2 linked regions of the Mytilus edulis genome follow. The protein of the gene in region 2 purifies or fractionates together with the protein of the main gene of each other region. This does not show direct contact. Links are inferred from orthologs where the notes say so. Each region holds a gene or a part of one and is shown on either strand. Other genes may lie near its edges. The genes, in order: centrosomal protein 20-like and centriole and centriolar satellite protein OFD1-like.

What was found.
Region 1: the proteins of centriole and centriolar satellite protein OFD1-like (region 2) and centrosomal protein 20-like purify together in Homo sapiens (co-immunoprecipitation; 3 studies listed by BioGRID and IntAct, with this or other methods). This does not show direct contact. The link is inferred for Mytilus edulis from reciprocal best matches to the Homo sapiens genes OFD1 and CEP20.

Annotation. Positions count from the first base shown.
Region 1 is NC_092352.1:76,244,724-76,256,093, forward strand, and holds the start of centrosomal protein 20-like, read right to left. Parts: upstream 4,424-11,370; 5' UTR 4,337-4,423; coding exon 4,309-4,336; intron 75-4,308; coding exon 1-74. UniProt on the Homo sapiens protein: Involved in the biogenesis of cilia. Required for the recruitment of PLK1 to centrosomes and S phase progression.
Region 2 is NC_092351.1:501,314-513,079, forward strand, and holds the start of centriole and centriolar satellite protein OFD1-like, read left to right. Parts: upstream 1-6,120; 5' UTR 6,121-6,304; coding exon 6,305-6,400; intron 6,401-11,359; coding exon 11,360-11,560; intron 11,561-11,766. UniProt on the Homo sapiens protein: Component of the centrioles controlling mother and daughter centrioles length. Recruits to the centriole IFT88 and centriole distal appendage-specific proteins including CEP164. Involved in the biogenesis of the cilium, a centriole-associated function.

The sequences.
Region 1 (11,370 bases), on a different chromosome or scaffold from region 2:
ATTGAACACCTCAGCTCTTATCCTGGCTTTTATCTGTCCTAGTGTTCCTTTATTCTCTAATGTATCTTTAATGACTGTAAAGAAAATAAACATACATGTATAATATTTAAATAGAATCAAAGTGCTTGTAAGCACTGAAGGGTTAAGATTGCTAAAATTTATCAGTGGGAAACACTGGTAATAGTTGAATCAACAAGAATTCTGGACAAAGGAAGATAACTCCAATTTTTAAAGTTGACATCATTGATAAAAATTTCTGGATATGTTCATGGATAAGATGGATAGAATGTTATGATCAATGCACTATATTCTGTTCATATCAAAGGTAGTGATATTCAGATAAATCTGGGAAGATTTAAATATGAAGCCAGTACAATAGGGTTTTGATTGCATTTCATGCAATCTTTAACCAAAAATAATCTGATTCCATACATGGCATTGCAGGCCTACACATATCTTAGACTATCATATTACCAACTTTTAATGACTTGTGACTCTGCATTATACATGTACATGTATAATTAAGGAACTTATACATGTAGCTGAAATACAACACCTTTATATGGTTATTTATAGTTGCTGTGCAAATGTCATTTGATGAATTTGATAGATATTTTGATATATTCAGCCTATTTTTTATGATTCTTAAATAAATGATTGAACATATGCCTGTGATTGTCATGACAATATTTATTTCATAAAAAAAAATCAACAAAACACTATAAATTTGACTTTAAAAGGGAAACCGGTTTACCTTTTGAGGCAAATTGTCAATCAATTTATTTTACAACTTGGACCTTTATATCTTATTTCATAGCAATATGGGAATGTGAAGAAAAGTGAACATGAAATGAAATGAAGGTTTGGTATCTGGTTATTCCTGTCCCAAGTTGAATGAGTTAATCCATCCCAATTCATTTTGTCACACATCCATCCTACCCATTTTTAATAAGTGTTTAATTTATAATAAAATTGGAGGATTTAATCACACCTTTTATCTGTTTTTCATATGTATATATTGTTTTTTTTAATCCTCATTTGTTTTACCATTATTGTCTTATCTATAAACCAAATTCATACTCTCATTCATGGTAAACCATTCATACCCTCTTATAATCAAAACAAGAAAACTATATATGTATATAATATATAAAACGAGTCTAAATTGAAAATTACGTTCAAACCTATGATTGCGTTGGATAAAAACCACAATTTTTATACGTGTGCATGTAAAACAAATTTCGTTGTAGAAGGGTCTAAAAACAGCACAAACAACATTTTCCGAAAGACCAAAAAAGTGAAAAAGTATATTTAAACAAAACGCATTTGACTAACAGGTCGAACAACTGATGTTCTTAAACCCTGCTGACTGCCATTGGCGATTGCCAAATAAAATTGATCACAAGATGTAACAAAATGGATCTTAATATAAATTTAATACTAAACAGAAAACAATTTAACTTGTGGCCATGATGTTATGCCACAAACATACGGTGTCAATATTTTTTTAGTACACCATATATATATATACTGTACCTACATTTGATAGAACATAACACAATGACATATCATAGTTGCCTGAAGATTTCATAATTATAGTGAAAAATGAGGAAATAAAATATTTTCCGATAATTATGAAATCTTCAGGCTATTGTGCTACTAAATATATTTTTCCCCCCAATTTTTCGCTATGAAATCTTTGTCTTATGTTCTATATAAAGTAGGTTCTCTAAATATAAAATAGCATTTTATTATTAGGATTAAGGTTATAGATGATAAGCCACTGACAATTAAGTCTTGTGGAGGGTTAACATTTTTTAAAAGATAAATCGTTGGATTTTCATAAAAAGATAAAGGGGAAAAGAAAATGACATTCAGTCTAACAAAAAACTCCTGTATGCATTGATTAAACCACAAAAGATTTGATACAATACACAGTATGTATCTTAAATTCTGGAACGGACAGACTGAGGGGACGGATCCACATGAAAGCAAAATGTTTTGGTATACAGATTCAACATTGAGGGGGGATAGGAGGGGTCCTGATCCTGAAATCCTGGTCTTAAAACCACGAAATCCTGAGGTCAGGAATTTAATTAAAGTAAATCACAACGTCCTGAAATCCGAAAAAAAAGATTCCCATATATCCCAAAAGGGTCAATCCCGAAATCCCAAGCTTACAAACCCCTGATCCTGGAGTCCCAATATTAAAAGGTCCTAGCGGACACAATTACGAACGATTTTTGAACTATGATTAATATTTTTTTTATGTAGTCAAAGACTACTTTTCTTGAATTGTTTATACCATAGAATTTAAGATGTATGTCAGGCTTTCCATTTTGCATCATATCCCACATAAATTTTTATTCATGTTAGGCATGTTAGGATACTTTAGTAAGATTTGCGTGACCGCTTTTTACGGGTCAAGAGAGCCACATATGGACGCAATTCCGAACAGCACTATATTGATATATCTTGCAGAAGAAATCAATGACAATAGTCTAGATTGATAAAGCATACATTAATCTTTATCTCAAACACAATTTCATAGGAAAATAAGATGCACAAGTTTGTTTTTTACTTCAATTACTTCAGCAGTGGTTGCAGACGAAATGTCGGTCATGTGTAAAGGAAAGATTTCTGATTTTTTTTGTTTTTGTGCAAGTTCCTCCTTTAAAGGAGCACTAAATTCAAGTTTATCCATTTCGGTTGTGTACTTATCATTCATCTATGATTTTTTTTTTATATTATAGGTCAATATTTCTTTCAGAGTTTTCTGGACTTTTCAATAAAATTAACATATTTTCTTTTGACCATAAATAGGGTAGAGTCTATAAAACGTCAATTGTGGGGTTATTTGCCAAAAGCTGAACTATTTAAGATATCCTTTGCTTATTCTGGATCATTATTATGGAATGAACTACCACACAAAATGCGTAAAGCTCAAAACACTTTTTCTTTTAAGCAAAGTATCAAGAAGTACCTAACACAATCCTGATAAGAAATGTTTGCTACAATGTATTTGTATATTTTTTATTTTCATTTGATTTTTTGACTACATGTATACATCTTAAACAGCATTATATCTTATGTTAATAACAATAAATTGAACTACATGACTGTAAATTAACTATGTGTAAATATCTGTTTTGATTGTATTGTAATTTGTATGTGAGGGCCTCAGGGAAGATTAGTTTATTGTAACTAACTGAGTTTACCCTCTTTAAATAAAGAATTTATTATTATTATTATTATTATTTGGGCAAGATAAAAGGCATCACGCATATGAACAGAATCAGGAGATATTTTTCTTTCTATATATTAACAAAAGAAGGCAATATGCACTTACCTTTATGTTTTTTTTTTATATCACTTTCAGGCCAGATTGCCGTTTTTATAATATTTGCAGAATGATTTTGTCATCGTAATCAACATTCACCAAGTGCACATAAATTGTATTTATATCATGAAAACAAGGGAATTTTAATAGGATTTTTATTTATAAAAACATTTATTGTTAAATATAAATAAATATGATCTCAGAGGGCAAACATTGGAAATCGTTCGTAATTCTCAGATCCGGACATCCTGGCATTTACATTTGTCAGGAGGTGATGTCATCCGGAATCCTCTAGATTTTTCATCTATTTGAAGGGGATTACTGATTATTTATATTGCCGATTATTTTTTAACCAGAGGTTATTGTATGTTAAAAATCAAAATAGAGATATTATATAGTGTCTTTAACAGTATTAAAAGAGTAAAATTACTATATTCAACTGGTTACGATATATATCAATTAAATTAATTTGCAATAAGTCTATGGAAAATCTAGAGGAATCTTATCCGCATCACCTCTCAACATTGTTTACATAACAAAAATGCTAATCATTGATTGGTCAGTTACATGTTGTGATGTCACTGCAGATCTGAGAATTGCGTCCAGTTGTAATTGCGTCCTGTGGGGCTATCAACATTAGACAACAATTTATCATGTTATTTCATAAATAGATAGTTCTAGTCAGTTTTGTTCTTGGGAAAATATTCTTTTATATAATATGTTTTGGAAACTATTCGGAATTTATGTCTTGTTTGTAGAAATGATTGTTAAAGTAAACAGTTTATCGTTATATAAAATAACAATAACATGACCAGACAGGTTTTTCACTAGACCATCCTCATTTACAGCTTTTGTTAACGTATCATAATGTATTATCCGGCGATAAGTTGCAGTAATTAATATAAGGTTGGCAAAAAACTGATAAAATACCAGTTTCCTTTACTCATATTTCAACTTAAACCATTTACCATCTTTTAGTTCATGTGTTGAAGACATTTTATTTACATTGGATGCGAAAAACGTAATAACCACATGAAATGATGACGTTTCCAACACTAATTATTTTTCTAAAACTAGAAAACCGATGCGGAGAATTTGTGAATATTTCCGGACAAATAGTATCGATTATTAAAGCTTCAATATTACTCTTTTAAAAATATTCAATGGATTTCCTTCAATTTTAGTTTTTGCAAAATGAAAAATATAACAATTTTCAAAATTTAAAATCAAATAATAAAAAAAATGAAACATTATTTACATAATATTTTATAATCTATTATGAATAACAGCCAGTATTACGTTTAATTATTGTATTATGAGATTACTTTTCGATCGTTGTGTTTTAGAACATATTATTTATCTTATAATTTGTTTTTTAAAATCTTTTCGTGCAATATATATTAAGCTCGCAAAATGAATTATTTGTGCATCATTGTCCTGAAAATATTGACACAAATTGTGAAATACAAAGAACTGAAATCAAACAGGAGGAAACGAAAATTGAAATGTGAATGTTTTCATCTTTTTATTTGTTTATTGCCTCATTAAACGATATTTATCATGTTTATGCATATTGATTGAAGATGAAAGGAAATTAATGACAATCCTGAGTTTTCAACAGGTGTTCATTATTTACAATGATTGTATATTCTGGCGCGTGTAATTGTATAGTCCGCAGTGGCGGATCCAGGGGGGGGGGGGGTTCCGGGTGTGCGCACCCCCCCTTTATTTTTGCCGATCAATGCATTTGTATCGGGACATATGTTTTGCACCCCCCCTGCACCCCCCTTTGCCCTGGGTTAGCACCCCCCCTTTCGAAAATTCCTGCATCCGCCCCTGGTCCGACGCGTGTACAAAGTTGAAGGTGTTAATTGGCTGTTATTGTAGCAATAAAACAGGGGACAAAGCGTGGCTGAGAGTTCTATAAATAAAGCATCGAATTGACATAACAAGAGTACACTTAGAGCATAGTATTAAAGGGAAACTTCGCAAAAAAATCAAAAATTGATATTATGTCCATTCTGTATAAAAATGCTCAAATTTATAGATATTAAAGTTTTATTCCGCTAAATAAGAGATCACCATCGATTTTAAATTTTTATTATCAGTTCTCTGAGCTCCGCCATCTTGTCACCTTCTCCGATGAAAAATCCCGATATGTCTATAAACCACAAAGGAACAAAACTACAGTAAACGATGTAGTCGTAATTGCGTGTCGATATCTTGTCAATCGTACGGTTGTTTTATCTGACTGACTAACTTGATACGGAAAATGGTCTTATTTTTTTAAATTACCATATAGTCTGTTATTTTTAAACTGATAATATTGTAATTAGTTAAAAAGTCAAAGTTCAAATCATAAATAAGTGTTCCGTGGAAATTGTTTTCGAAAATCTAATTCGTTCATAATTCTTTAAAGTAATAAACTTTATTTAAATAAATTCGGATCTTCCCTCATCTGATCACCAGCATGGCTAAAGGTATTACTCTCAAAGGTATTGGAAGGGGTGTAAGGTGACACGTGCAGGTATTCAATCGATTTCCTGTCCGGCGGGCTTGCAAGTTCATGCATCGTTTCACTTCTGTAGGTAGTGATCAGTGTACACGACCGTAACTTATAACTTGCCATTTTAAACTATGCAAGGCCGTAGCGCATGTCCAAATCAACTGAGGCAAATTTGTTTAGGGGTGTTCGGGAGCCTGAAACAGGAGGAGCATATTTCAGCATTTCTATGGGAGAGGTCAATGTATTTATAATAAAAAAAATAAAAAAAAAAAAAAACAATATAACAGAAATGCGTTTTTTTGTTATTAGCTAGCCTAGTAAGCTTAGTCACAAAACAAGTTTTAAATTTTTTTAGGGGTGTTCGGGAGCCTGAAACAGGAGAAGCATATTTCAGCATTTCTATGGGAGAGGTCAAATGTATTTATAAAAAAAAAAAAAAAAAAAAACAATATAACAGAAATGCGTTTTTTTTTTTTTTTTTTTTTTTTTCCAGCTAGCCTAGTAAGCTTAGTCACAAAACAAGTTTCAATATTAAAGTTAATCTCTATTGGTCAACCAAAACTTTCCGATTCTCCTGTTACCTGTACTATCGAAAAGCTTCAACACACGTTCTTTGTCAACTATATCATTCCTATATGCATATAGAGCATGGCAAGCCCACAAAGCCTGTCACCACCCATTTTCCCCAGGTTTTCAAACGCCTTCAACTTGAAAACGATCTCTCACAACAGACTGATGTGACAGGCAGAGTTTAAAGTACTTGCAATATTCTGAAAACATTTGGGTATAAGTCTTTGTTAACTAGCTTAATTGCTGTCTTGAGGCTTCCTTCATCAAGCATTGCTACTGTCTTTCTTACCCACCTTTCAAGTTCACATGTTAACTCTTCCATGTTAGTTACGACGTACGGAAATGCTTGGAAAAGGTGTTCAATTAATTCCGGTTAACTTGCCTACATTTTTTGGAATAAGGTAATATCCTAACATTTGATTTTTTACCTCATCAGGAAACCGGCGTTGCATTTCATTAATGACGTGATCCAAAAATGGGGAAAATAAATTAATTCGCTAATGCTGCTCTGCAGTAGAGGCAGTTGCTATACTTAAAGGGGGTGCTTATACTCACGCGTTACCTTTTTCATCTTTTTTTCTCTTTAACGAACCCGTATTCAACCAGTTTTGTAACGACATTAAGATTTGTTTCATTTTTTTTATTTTTGATTTGTATTGGACACACTGTATGTTATGTGTCTGAAGATGATTCGAAACTCGCATACTGATTATTGAAAATACATAATTGAAAAAAAAAATACACTTCTAAAGTTTTGTCGTCGGTTCAAACGTGAGGCATTTGCCTCATTTGCTTCCATTACGCTACGGCCCTGCTATGAGGTGCATGTATAATACACATTTTTGTCTTGCGTGTCCGAAAGTGATATAATATACTAGTCATTGCTGAACTCATACGCTAGTTTATAAATAACATTTCTGGTGTAAAGAATATTATTTATAAAAAAAAATAATACAAATTTATTTTTTTGAAGAAATACAAATCTATTTACATATTTTTCCAAGGATTAATTTGGGAAAATGTAATATATACTCGTTGTCAATAGTTTAGGACAGATTGGAACATACCAGAATTATTGATTTAAAAAAATGTGCGCACTTGTCGACGATTCGTGTATACACACGCCTGGGTAGAAAGTTACGGAACTATAGTCAGTAGCGCAATTTAAAATATGTATACATTGAACATAAGAAAGAAACATACATTTTGTGTAAATTGTGGTAAAAGTTTTGTAAATAGACTAGTCCACGTATGCCAACAGTATGTAATCAACGAATTCGATAGACTATTGTATACCAAAAGAAGCAGAAGAAAAAAAGAAACAATTTGATTTAAATACAGGTCAATTTATAACTTGCTTTGGTTCATCGAAGTTAAGAACATAGTAAACTCACAGATTTATATATCAATTAGATTGTTCTCGAATAAAGGACGAAATTCGTCATCATCACAATTGTTCCAACATTCATATAAAATATATGCAACTGGACGTACACTAATAATCCCCAAGGGATGTGAATATTTTCTAGGAAAACTATTGAGTATCAATTTCGGGATTTATTTTCTTTCTTGATATTCAATGACAGCAATTTAAAGAATAAACTGCTTGTCGGATATTTGTCCGCTTTAGGGGTATTCTTGCAAGTTGAACAGACTTATAATAACATTCAAAACTAGGGAAAGATAACATTAAATTCGTTGTCTTTTAATTTTAAACATCGTTGGTCAAATAATTATTTAAGTATATATATACGTTGGGAGACGACGATTAATATAGTAGTCTCAGATTTTAATAAGGACGTTCCCGATTATGAATAAATTTGGTTGACGTTTTTGAACCTCTTAAGTACAAAAGTAATTTTTCTTTATTCGTACATATTATATTCCGCTTCGGTAGAGTTATCTTCAGATAGTTTCAGATATTAATTAATACATGGCTTTCAAAAGTCTAAATGTAAGTGTTCTCGTACATGATTTTTTCGCCTAATAAAGACAAATAAAAATGATTTAGTAAAGCTATTTCTAATTTCTAAGTCCCCCTTTTTTATGAGACATAAATCAAGGACAAGACTTGTATATCATTTCATTCTGACATATGAATAAAGTTTCCCGTCTTTAACCGAAAATTGTGTATTTCTAAGTAAATTAACTTATTTGAATTCAAATAAATAATAGCACCAAATATAATTAAATAATTCCACGGCGACCAATTTTTATTTGTCACCAACTTGAATATGTATTTTTAATGTGTGTATTAAATGCTCCCACTGATCCGAATAGACAGTCACACCTGGCAAGGTGTACCCTAGAGGCGTGGTTAAATACCGAAGTGCAAATAACAATTTACCTTTCAACAAGCCATCTACGAGTATTGCCACAAAACCGTGAATACACACATCGTATAAACCTAGTCATAGCAGAGATAGTAAAAGGGCAATAAGAGTACACCAACATATTGTCTTTACAGATTATTGTACTTTAATTTGTCCACCTTATCAGTCCGAAAATGCATTTATTAAAAATAAATTTATAACTTTTTGTGTTGTCTACAAAAATAATTCGAATATATACGATTAACATAGATAATTTATCTCACGAATGAGTACAATTGAACGTCTGTGCGTTTTATCTTCTTATTATCGGATGGTTATTAGATAAAGCATAAGTCATCGGCGCGCTTACGATTACGTTAAAATATGATTAAAAACCAAGACTTTTAATGATTTTATTTTAAATCCCGGCATGCAAAAATCAGGAGAAAACGTCACGACCTACAGGAAGTAGTTGATATTTTTTCATTAATTATTGAATTTCTCCTTTATTACTGCACATAGCGATAAAACTTTGTGAATATATATATTATGTCATAATGAACATATTTAAACCATAAGTAAAAAATCGTGAATTTTCCCTTTAAAGGACTTTTGTCTATAAATTTGGACCCCACAAAATTGAAAAAGGGACCAAAAATTTTTAAAAAAATGCATGCATCGGATAAACTTGTTATTGAAGGCATGACTGTAACAATAGGATGAATATACAAAAATATCTTATTCTGGGGTCTCATTGGGGGGGGGGGGGGGGGGGGGGGGTCTGATCCCGGATCCCGCTTACTGTTTTGGCAGATTCCCGTATTCCGCTTATTGTTTTGTCAGATTCCCGTATCCCGCTTATACTATGCAGTTCTAATTTTTTGTTATTATCCGTGTCCCGCTAGACTTCATTTCCCGTTTTTCACTACACAATCATTTGACTTTCACCTGTCACGCTTGCTAAAAATCGGCAATCCGGCGTGACGCTTATACCCAAATGCGACCCACTATTTTACTCTATTTTGACTCATATTAAGCCCATTATAAATATATTAAAAAAGTAGCGTAGATTTTTTTTATCCCTTTTTATCCCGTCTAGTTCCGTTTTTGAGCCATATATAGATGTCGTATGTGACAATGAGACAACTCGGCTCCATCCGAGTCACAATTTATAAAAGTAGACCATTAAACGTCAAAATACGGTCTTCAGCATGGAGTAGTAATTAGTGGTGAAGTGTCATGGAAATGGATACAAGAAATAAGGATAAAGATCCCTATACGCTTTATAAGAAACTAAATGGAATACATTTGAAATAAATGTCATTTCTATTGAATTTATTAGAGTGTTTTAAAACCAAACTTTCCTCCGTAAGTTAAATTTTATCAAATCTTTCTCTTACTTTATCTATTGTTTGAGCAAGTCGGCTAAATTAAGGCTTTACAGCTAATTTCCTAATGCATGGAAAGAAAACTTTGGTTGGCTTGCTTGCTTTGTTTGTATAATTGTATATACAAACTTTGTAAATAAGATTGACATTTTTAAACAATATGAATAGGCATAGTTTAACCTGTATTTTTAATATTTGAATTAAATTGGGTGTTATCATAATGATTATCCAATAAAAAAAGCAAGCAAATCAACTAAAGTCTTGCTCTCCATGCTTAAAGAAATGAGCTGTAATAGATAAAAAAAATAATAATTATACAGTGAAAATGCACCGCATATACAATACTAATGATTCGCTCCACAGTTAAAATGAAAGAATAGTATCATTATTCGACAGTAAACATGACTAGCATTACGAAATCATCACAGTGGAATTTAGTTAAATATGAAGAAACTGAATGACAAAACATATTCTACGTTATACAACTTTAATAATTGTATTAAAATGAATATTTTTTACTGCAACAACATCTCACCTGTTAGTTATAAAGCACCTGTACGATCTATTCGTGAAATGTCCTAAATATTAACCTATTTTGGTATATATTTCACAGCTGGATGGCTTTAGGCGCGATAAAACCCCGCTCGCATCTCTAACTTTGTTTTATTAGTATTATGTATTTCTGAACATATACATTTTAACTAATTTTCTTCATTTTCTTCAAAAATTAAAAAAATTTCGTCTGTTTATTTATCATTCTACATTAGACATTTATGGCATAAACAGTAAAAATGATATTTTAGGATCCGCACTTTACATACACTGTGTAAGAACTCAACAGACCAGAGTACAGCTTCATACCGACTCTTTAAAAACATTTATCCAACACGAATTGATCTTATTAGAACCCAAAGATACTACTTTATTTAGACACTACTTAATTTTGATACATGAGTAGTTTTAAAATACATGTCATGATAGATGTTAGGCTAAATAGCATCTGAACAGTGAAGTGTTGTGTTTACACTAATTCCACCCGAAATGTTTTGATTGATAATTTAGTCTATACGAATTTTTCACTAGCTGACATTTGATAAATAATTAACCGCTTGACCAATCATTACTCAATGTTCGGCGGCGCACATGGAAAAATCTGAGTAGCCAAAAAACCTGATTTCTGATGCAATGAAAATCTCCAATATTAACTTAATATAGCTAAACACACATAAAACAGTGTCAAATATTATACTGACT
Region 2 (11,766 bases):
TTTAAAACAACAATCAGTTTTTCATATGAATGTGAAAGAAAGGAAATTATTTGATGAGCTTAAATACCCGAATGAAGTTATGATAACTGTATTAAAGTAGCATAACACCATAAAAACAAAAACAAATTCTCGGGATATATCAGTTTGTTTTGGGGATATCACGTTTTTTCTTGTATTTCTCGGGAAATCGTGGTACCGGGTCATTTTCATAAATTTTCGGTTACAAAACTTTGATTTTTTTGAAAAACTAAGGATTTATTTTCTTATCTAAGGAATAGATTACCTTAGTCATATTTGGCACAACATTTTGTAATTTGGGTCTTCAGCTTGGTATTAGTTTGGCTTTATACTATTTTGATCTGAGCGTCACTGATGAGTCTTAAGTAGACGAAACGCGCGTCTGGCGTATTAAATTATAATTCTGATACCTTTGATAACTATTCAGTTACCTCTGGTCCGTATTGTTTGGCGTCAGATATTGGTGCCGATCTTTCCCAGATTTATCATTTTACATATTAATGTTAAAAATTAATTTGTAATAATGTTTAATGCACTGTACCAAAAAAGATTAATAATAATAAAATCTCTGTACCAATAAAATGAATCATTGGATATATATAAATATAACCCAAAATTGTTTTCATTGGAACAAATTAATTTGTATTTGGATATTAACTAGGGTATCGTGATACCGTGAAATACTGATAGCTCGGTCCAGTAACATAAATATTAAGTTAAGATATACTGTTCACAGCTCGGTCAAAAACAAACTCGGACTATAACATATTATCTCATAAATTCGTATATAATTTTTATGTATAAAGGAGTAGGTCCGGTAAGGACCGATTTTGGCCTCAAATTTCAGGTTCATCTGACGAAAGATTTTGACCACTTTTTAAACACTTAAGTGTCTATTTTATTTGAATTAATTAGTTTATGTGAAAGATTTTAACAGATTTAGTCATTAAAAACGATCTGATTCAAGGTCTAATATGAAAAATCTACCTAATATGCCGAAAAATGTCACTTTTCAGATGGTTTTTGGTAAAAATGAAAATGGCCGCATCCGTGTTCATCCTCAACCTTTATATATGTTATGTATTATCATAAAATACAACTTACATTTTAATATAAAGGATGAACACGAATGCGGCCACTTTCGTTTTACACGAAAACCGTCTAAAATTTAACTAAAATGCTAGAATTATGAGGATTTCAGTAATTTAGCATGACTTAATGGTGGTAGTACCGGATATATGTGCATTGTATTGTCAAAAACAGCCCATATTTATGTAGCAGAAGCATTCTACTGTCCAATAAATAACTAAAGGTTTACATTTTAACAATTTTGTAAAACTGTTATATTTTGGGGCCAAAAAGGGGTCTTACTGAACCTACTCCTTTGTTTTTTAATGTCAGAAAAAACCGTTTACAACACAATCTACTACAGCAACCGTATTCCGAGTTTGTTCAATTTATTTCTGCATATAAATAATCAAGGCCGAGTTTGTTATAGTCCAAGTTATCAAGCAGCGAATAAAATCATGTCGTACCCACGAATTATAGTTAACCCGTACCAATGTAAACTCGTACCAACGTTAACTCGTACCACTAAAAAATAACTCGTACCAATGTAAACTCGTACCACTGCTAACTCGTACCAACTTATTTAAAAGCATTTGATTGGTGTTTAATTATGAATATATACTGTTATTTTTCTCAATACCTCTTAATAAAATTGAGAATGGAAATGGGGAATGTGTCAAAGAGACAACAACCCGACCAAATAAATAACAACAGCAGAGGGTCACCAACAGGTCTTCAATGTAGCGAGAAATTCCCGCACCCGGAGGCGTCCTTCAGCTGGCCCCTAAACAAATATATACTAGTCCAGTGATAATGAACGCCATACTAATTTCCAAATTGTACACAAGAAACTAAAATTAAAATAATACAAGACTAACAAAGGCCAGAGGCTCCTGACTTGGGACAGGCGCAAATATGCGGCGGGGTTAAACATGTTTGTGAGATCTCAACCCTCCCCCTATACCTCTAACCAATGTAGAAAAGTAAACGCATAACAATACGCACATTAAAATTCAGTTCAAGAGAAGTCCGAGTCTGATGTCAGAAGATCCCAGATAGCAAACATGTGTTGGGCCAATATTGGCATTCTGTTGGCAACATTGTTGGGCCAATGTTGGAAAAATATGTTGGGCCAACGTCATTTTGCTCATCGGCCCTCAGTTGGCCCAACATGTTGGGTCTTTGTTGGCCCAACATCAGTATGCCAACAAGGTTAACTATTTGCCAACAATCTGCCAACAATGTCAACTATTTGCCAACAGTCTACCAACGTCGTCTAGTTTTAAATTTATGTTGGACCAATGTTGGTCGAACAGTAGTATGCCAACGATGGCCTCAGTCTGTCAAACATGTTTTTCAGGCATTTGATATTATGTATTAAGAATTATTTAGTTCTAGTATATAATGTATATTATCGCTATTTTGTGCATTTTTCTTTTGATCTTTTTTTGTGATAATTTTCATATCATGCTTCTCGCTTGAGATGGAAAAATTATGAAACTAAGGAGGCCACGTGGCGTTGCTAACGAAATTGACATGAAATTGACAACGTCGTCATAGGTAAAATAGCGATAAACAGATTATCATTGGTCATCTCAACTCGATTGCTTTTCTCACTTTCGCTGTACCAGCTCAAGCGAGAAAATCAATCTCGTTGAGCATATAATCTATAATTATATTGGCAGGTCAATCCCGGCTGTCATGTGGAGAGTATGATATTACACTCGTGTCAAATGAGCAGCTGAGTTCAGTTGATTAGTTAAACAACTTGCAGAAACTATATTCAAATTTTATTTGTTTTTTTGGGCTGGTTTTAAGTATTTTTTGTTTGTGCATAAAATTATTCAATCATTAAGATAAATACATTTAAATGACTACACAGATTTGAAAATATTAGATAAAAAGAATGAAGAGCACATTTTTTGGTTCGCACTTTGAAATAATATCTATAAAAAAATAAAAAAATCTGTGGTATAATACGGGGAGATAAGAACTTAATACGTTGGCATATTGTTGGCACAATGTTGGCTCATATTTCAATATTGTCATGAAATATCAATGATATGTTGGTTTTTTTTTTTATAAATATACTGTTTTAAAAACTTTTGAATTATTCAAAATATTAAGAATTTTCTAGCTCTTGGCACAGACGGTTTAAAATAGTCCTATTTGGGAAGACTTTATTATTTGATTTTTTACTAAGTCCTCAATGCCCTTCAAACACAATCTATATTCTCTACGATAACATAGAATCATTCAAATAAAGTTCGAATAAAATTGGTTCAGTAGTTTCAGTCAGAAGATCTTACACTGAACCAATGGATAACGTAAGTCAAATATCGTTGGGCAAGCTACTTTAAAAATAACAGTTGGTAAGAAAATGTTGGGCCAACATTGGGCCAATAACACAAAAATGACAGTTGGTGGAAAGTCGTTGGGCCAACAAGGGGCCAATAGTGTCAAAATAACTGTTGGCTGAGTTCTGTTGGGCCAACAAGGGGCCAATAGTGTCAAAATAACTGTTGGCTGAGTTTTGTTGGGCCAACGTCGGTTTCTTGTTGTGCTGCCAACGCCAACTATTTACCAACTGTGCCAACCAACCACCAATGTTGGCCACAAAGTATTGCTATCTGGGATGTAACCAAAGAAAATAAACAAAATGACAATAATACATAGGCTTAATGGTAGTACTTTTTTTTTTTTATTAATTTTAGAAAGAAAAAACACCACAAAATGTTTTTTTAATGGTACGACTTCCCAGTGGTACGACTTTAAGTTGGTACGAGTTAACTTTTTTGGTACGAGTTAACATGGTACGAGTTTCCGTTGGTACGAGTTAATTTGCTTCCGTACCCACACACATGTACAACTTCCAAGTGTAAACGCAGGACTTCGGGAATGTTCGGAGAGCCGACAACCTTGCTTCGGAAGTTGACACATGTATAGTTCTATCGATAGAAATTATTAGTAGTACTTATACGTGTGCGTGGGTCTCACTAATTAGCGACAACAAGCGTCAAGAAGTGACAACAAGCGTCAACAAGCGACAAGAAGCGACAACAAGAATTATTTTAGCGACAACAAGCGACAAGAAGACTATTTAGCGACAAGAAAACATTTTTTTTTATTAGATATAAAGAAATTTGTATTTAATGTTTTTTTTATAAATATACGAGCAGATATGTCTTATTAAAATGGTTTATTATATAGATAGACGAAGAAATGAAACATTTGTGAGGAAGAAAGAGATTTTGAAGTTTATATTAGTATATTGGTAGATGAAGAAATTTAACATTTGTGAAGAAGAAAGAGATTGAGCTTCTTTTTTTTAATTTTTAAATATGAAGAATATGTATAAGATAATGTATGTATCTGTTTTCATCAAAGTCAAAGTATGAATAAACGAATGGAGATATATATGGAGCGGGCATAATGGAATATAATATTTTGATTCATTTGCTTAATACTATGCTCTAAGTGTACTCCCAGGTAGCACAAAACATTTTCAAAACATTTTTATAAGGTTGTATAAATGTCTTATCAAAACGTTGTCAAACAAATATTTTCGTGATGTTATGTGAATATTTTTTCTTTGATTTTTAAAACATTTATTTAAAACATTTTTTGGAAATATTTTTACAATGATGTAAGAATATTCATAAAAATGTTTTCGATAATATTTTTTAAGATATTTTGTATGAATGTTTTATAAATGTTCAGAAGATATGTAGGTTCTACCTCTGAAAAACATTTTAAAAGTATATAAGTAGAACATTCTTAACAATATCACTCCGATGTTTTAAAAATATTTTCTAAAAATGTTTCATGAAACTTCCCTTACTATTTCCTTTGCTCAAGAGGAAAACCCTTATCCCAAGGGATTCAGTTTGACACGGCGATGTGACAAAATAAGTGCGTTTCAATATTTACCCTTGCCCAAGGGGATATCATGAACGGACGTGTCCACTATAGTATAATTATAATACTTCTAATATGCATTTATCGAAGTTCGAGTCGTAACCTTTTTTCCCTTGCACAAAAGGAAATTGAAACCCTGTACCAAAGGGTTCGTTTGATACCGCGCAGTATCAAAGACGTTCTAAGTAACTGATTTATTAATCAAAGGTAAACCGAGTTGCGTTTTAGATTCTAGCAATTGCACAGAGCACGTACTTTTGCGAGAATAATACTGAAATGCTGACAATTTACTTTATACTAAACATAAAAGTTGAATGACTTGAACAGTCAGTTTGGTAGAGCAATGGAAATGCACACGCTATAAAATTGAAACAAAAACAAAAAAAAGGTCAACTTTCCTTTGAAGGATTTATTGAAACAAAAACATGAAATATTATTTCCTTTCTAACAGTATAATTCATTGTTCTTGATAGGAACAACATTAGATGTGGCTTCACCCTAAGGTAATAACAGTACACACAATGTGGAACATTAAATGAGATTAACGAGTCGCGTGGAACATTAAATGAGATTTTCCTCCTGTTTGATTTCAGTTCTTTGTATTTCACAATTTGTGTCAATGTTTTCAGGACAATGATGCACAACTAATTCATTTTGCGAGCTTAATATATATATTGCACGAAAAGAGTTTTAAAAAACAAATTATAAGATAAATAATATGTTCTAAAACACAAGGAAAAGTAATCTCATAATACAATAATTAATACTGGCTGTTATTCATAATAGATGATAAAATATTATGTAAATAATGTCCAAGTTCATTTTTTTATATCTATCAATTTTAACTTTTTTGTCGCTAAAATTATTTTCTTTTGCATATTCTTTTAATATTTATTGCAATAATTAATTTTAATTTAAAAAAAAATGTTTTCTTGTCGCTAAATAGTTTCTTGTCGCTTGTTGTCGCTAAAATAATTCTTGTTGTCGCTTCTTGTCGCTTGTTGACGCTTGTTGTCGCTAAAATTCTTGTTGTCGCTAATTAGTGAGACCGGTGTGCGTTAATAGCCAGAGCCTTTCTTCTATCCAATGGAAAGGCTTTAAAACATTAAGCCCGATGTAAACAAAGCGCTATTTTCGAAAATGGCTGATATATGAAAACAAATGAAACACCTGGTTAATGACAGGTCTCTACGTTGTTATAAGAGAAAAGAAAGGGAAGTTATGAAGATAAAACTTTGCGAGACAAAAACGTTGATTGTTTAACAATTATATAGTAGGCCAATATTAGAAAACTAATAGAATGGCGGAGGATAAACCTGAATACTTGTCGGCAGAAGCACTTCGTAATCGACTGTATCACAGTCTTCGGGATAAAGGGGCTGTAGACACGATTAAGGTATATATTTGAATACACGTAGGCGCAGTTATGAACAAGCAATCCATTAACTTCACGTACGGATTGTAAAACTAAAAAAATCAGGAGAAGAAAAACGTAATTTTTGGTGTGATAAACATGTGTGGACATGTTTCTCGGTGCATACTATAGTGTTTTCTACATGTCTCTGCCCCATATGAGGGTTTGGATGGGGTTAAACGTTTAAAGAATAATGCCCTTAAAAAATAAAGATTAGAGAATAACGGGCAAAAAAAATGAAGTTTAGAGAAAAAAGGGGTTAATTTTTGGAAGATTAGAGAAAAAAGGTGTTATTGTTTTAAAGATTAATTAGAGAAAAAAGGGGTGAAAATTAAATGTTTACAGAATAACAGACCCCCCATCCAGACCCTCCCATATTATTCATAATTTAACCTTAAATAACCCACTACATTTTTGCATAGTTTATATTGATATAAACCCTAGTAATATCAAGTGAAAATACACCTTCATGACTTTAGTCTTTAGTCTTTATTTTTGGCCGAGCGGAACGAGGCAAAATTTTTTTTAATGGGTTATGAAGTCACTGAAGTCCCCAAGAAGCTATAGAACTGTTTAAATCAACCAATATGTAGGATCAAGCAAAAATTTAATTCACATAGTTCAGTATGCATGGTATGTGGTTGCTGTTTTTATGCAGTTAAGCTGCATTATGCGAGCACCCTAGATTTGTGTTCTACCCAATAAATCCTGAAATACTTGCCATTGTTATTATCTAGCTTGTTACTATGTTATATATAATTAATTGAACACTTTTTTAATACTTTTTATTCTGGATTACAAAAAAAATGACCAGAAAAACCTTAAATGATCGTCGATTTATCCAAAAGTTTTAAAGTTACACATAGGAAGTAGTGCTTATTAAAAATCCTTGTGTAGTTCATTATGACTTGTGCTTTTAGCTAAGATGTCAAAGAACAATTGTATGAAATATTTAATCGCCGAAAATCTCTGAAGACAAGCAGTTTAGATTTCCCAAATGACAAAAGTCGTAGGAATATTGTTTGTCATCAATACGTAGTACAACTACGTCAGTAGTCTATTATATAATTCAACTGTTCATGCTGTTGGCGGCAATTTCAAATTAGAAAAAGAAATTTTCGTAGCTTTTCAATTTGGAGGCAGGTGTGCAAATTAGCGGTGGTCCGAGACCTTCCATTTTTGCAAGCGGAATTTCGACTAGGATAGTTGGTTTCTAGCTACGCCCGACGTAGTCGCCTTATATTTGAAAGAAAATAAGAAATTACTTTGCAAACCTTTTCACCATGTTCACCAAAGTCTCCAATTAAACGAGCTAAAAACTTATTTTTATCATTATTTTTCATAACGGCGATGTTCATTTTGTTCAACCGCTAGCTTTATACAGAAAATCGCCAACAAATATTGTATAAATTCGAGTAAAATCATATCTGATTGACAAAAACAACATTGTAAACACATAACAATGGCGGCCGTGAAGACAAAATTTTACAAAATCGGATCCGATTTCTGGAAGCGGATAGAGTAATTCCGGGTTTGACGATCATTTACAAAATAAATCCAAGCAGGTGAAAAAATACATCTATGCATGGTAAATCAATATAAACACTAGTATTGTAAACCAAAAGATATATGTAAAAGAAAGAAAAAGCAGAAAAATATTTTATTCAGAAACTAAAAATTACTTTTTGATAAATTTTAATTTAAAAAGCCAATACAACGTGACAGCTGGGAACAGTATATCTAACAATATACATGTTCATGGTCACAGTCTAAATTTTCTTTAATGATAAATGATGCTAATGCATGTGAGATGCTTTTAAAGTGTAAACATATTACTGCAATTTCGAGGGGTTATTTGTTTTTTCTCAATTTTGAAGGGTCAATTAAAGTAGCTGAAAGTTTCATTCTTTATTTTCACAAATAATGCAACTATACTATATATACCTTAATGTAAGTAAATCATATGATATATAGGTGGCATTCTTTGGGCCACTCTACCCCCTCCTGTTTGATAACTTGGAAACGGTCGAGCTCCCCACCCCTAAACCATATGAGGGGCAGATTATTGGAATTTTTTTTATTAAGCTGAGAATAACCCATGCTTTGCAAATTTAAGGGGGTGCAAGCCCGCAACCCTCCCCAGTCTGAATCCGCCCCTGCATATATTCAAGTATAGAACAATATAATAAATAAAAAATGAAATATAGGGGGAGGCCCTGGAGTTACCCCACCCCTTCCTGTTTGAGAACTTGGAAACGGTCGAGATCCACACCCCTTAACCATATATATTCATGTTTGTGACAATATGAAAAATCAAATGAAATATAGGAAGAGTCGCTAGGGGTCACCCCACCCCTGCTGTTTTAGAATTTAAAAATGGTCGAGATCCCCATCCCTAAACCATATATATTCATGTATGGGACAATATAACAAATCAGATGAAAGATAGGGGGAGTCCCTGAGGTCACTGTTCACCCTCCTGTTTGAGAACTTGGAAATGGTCAAGATCCTAAACCCTAAACCATATATACTCATGTATGGGACAATATAACAAATCAAATGAAATATAAGGGAAGTCCCTGTGGTCATCCCAACCCTCCTGTTTGAGAACTTGGAAACGGTCGAGATCCCCACACCAAAACAATATATATTCATGTATGGATCAATATAACTAATTAAATGAAATATAGGGGGAGTCCCTTGGGTCACCCTACCCTTCATGTTTGAGAACTTGGAAACCGATGAGAACCCTACTCCTAAACCATATATATTCATGTATGGGACTATATAACAAATAAAATGAAATGTAGGGGAAGTCCCTAGGGTCACCCTACCCCCAGTGGCGGATCTTTGATCCCTGTTGTAGTAAACATTTATCTGATTCGTGTCTCATAACTTTTGTACTATAGAACACAAACTGAGTTTTCTTTCCAGGGAAACCAGTCCATTCATACTATTACATGTTCATACTATGTCAAATTGAACTTCTAGCAGTCAAATAAAACCAAGGTTAACTACCAAGTAGAACAACTGCAATCATTGGGAACTTGTACCACTGCAGACTCACCATAAAATATATACATTGATATATGCATTGCTTTTGAAACCTTGATAACATATAAATTATTTGCCTTAATAAATAAATCATTAGATAAACATGAATGTACTATATATGAATGTTTAATGTTGAGGCAACATTGCCACAGTTTTCATAATTACGGTTGCCTTGGTTTTTGGTTAACTGCCTTCAGCGCTTACAGCGCTTTGATTTTTTTAAACTCTTGATCAAGTTAACAACATAATTACTTAATTACAACAATTTACAAATGGAATGCAAAACTAACAGAATTCAGGAGAGCAATCAATGAACAAAAGACAAATAAATAAGAAACATTGATACTGGAAAAAAACGGCTACGCCCAAGACACTCGCTGTGAACACAATTTGATATGAAGACAAGCTTTTGGTTTTGAAATTTCTAACATGAGGTATTTGTCGGAGGGGTCCTGATCCCGAGATCCCGGGCTTAAAAACATGAAATCCTGAGTTGCAGAATTAAAGACATTCATATCCTGAAATCCCTGAATGGAAAAATATATTCCTAGATCCTGTAAGGATCAATCCCCAAATCCTGAGCCGATCTGATCCCAACGTCCCGAAAAAAGGTCCCACCTCCCTCTAATCTCTACCCTACTTCATATTTGCCAAATCATTACTTTCTCTTTCAACAATAAATTTTTATGTCCCATTTATTGGCATTAGGTTTTCTAGTCTGTGCATCCGTGCGTTCATTTGTTGGTTCGTCCATCCGTCTGTCCCGCTTCAGGTTAAAGATTTTGGTCGAGGTAGTTTTTGATGAAGATGAAGTCCAATCAACTCTAAACTTAAATATAGTGCCGATGTGGCATCCGTGTACCATGGACACATTCTTGTTTCCTATGTTTTACTTATTTTAATATATACATTGTATGCAACTGGTATGACCCCTTAAATAGTTAACATTTCAAAGAAAACAGTAGACAGAATACAGAGAGTCTCTATATATTAAAATTGTATAACCGTAGTTTACATGTAGATAAACACGAAAAAATAATTGTCCTCGCTAATGTTATGTTTATCTTTTTAATACTGGTTAATGAAATCATTACAGTGTGTACTGGCTGGTCATTATCATGGCGTATGATACGATTTTGACACGCCTACATAGCTAATGAATATGCATGACTATAGATAAGAACAGCACGTGTAGCCAAAAAGGAGAGTTGTAGATTTGTAGCATAACTGTACATATGTAGTTTAGAAAATAGAAAATAGTTACAAAATTATAGTTATTATTAATAGTATCCGAACAAGTAAAAGACGTAAAACACGGATCTATCACTAAGGAATTAAAATAGTTGTTAACAAACCATTTGTTTTTGTGATTATCAAGGCTGAGTTATTTATTTTCATAATCATCCTGCCCCTAAAATTGCAATAAGAGGGTGATAATGGGGGTACCTTCAATGCCTTCATGACGAATAACAGTAATTAACCATAACCATTGACATTATCATTAATTTTTGATGCATAATGATAAAATGTGCACTTTCTTTAAGATGAAAAAAAAAATAGAATGATTTTGATGAATCAATTAAATTTTATCAAAAAAAACAACAACAGTGATGATATTTATTTGGGACCTCTGACGAATCACGTTAAGGATATTTTGACAAATCAAAGTGAAATTTGATGCTAATGGTAGCCGAAAATGACCATTTGACGCTTGACAGTAATTTTAAAGCTACTACTACCCTCCATTAGTAGCCTCCAAGTCCTTTTTATGTCTTAACTCTGACTGATAACATACATGTAGCACGTCTGCTTTTCGCTCCTTTTAAATGCATGGTATATCTGTCAACAGATTTCAGATGTATAATAAATATTCCACTTTTTTTTCAGAGCCAGTTGAGAAACAAAATAGTTGAAGAATTACAACAGTCTTATAAAGGTCACTTATCGGTCAGAGATCTCAAACTGCCAGATGAAGGATCTTTACTACACAGAGCAGCTAACAGTCTAGTCGCCGATCACCTTAGGAGTTGTCAGTATGATTACTCATTTAGTGTGTTCCTTCCTGAAAGTAGAACAGCTAAGGACAAGGTCAGTATAAATAGGTCAATACTACACAGCTCACAGTCGAGTCAATGATCACCTTAGGAGTTGTCAGTATGATTACTCATTTAGTGTGTTCCTTCCTGAAAGTAGAACAGCTAAGGACAAGGTCAGTATAAATAGGTCAATACTACACAGCTAACAATCTAGTCGCCAATCACCTTAGGAGTTGTCAGTATGATTACTCATTTAGT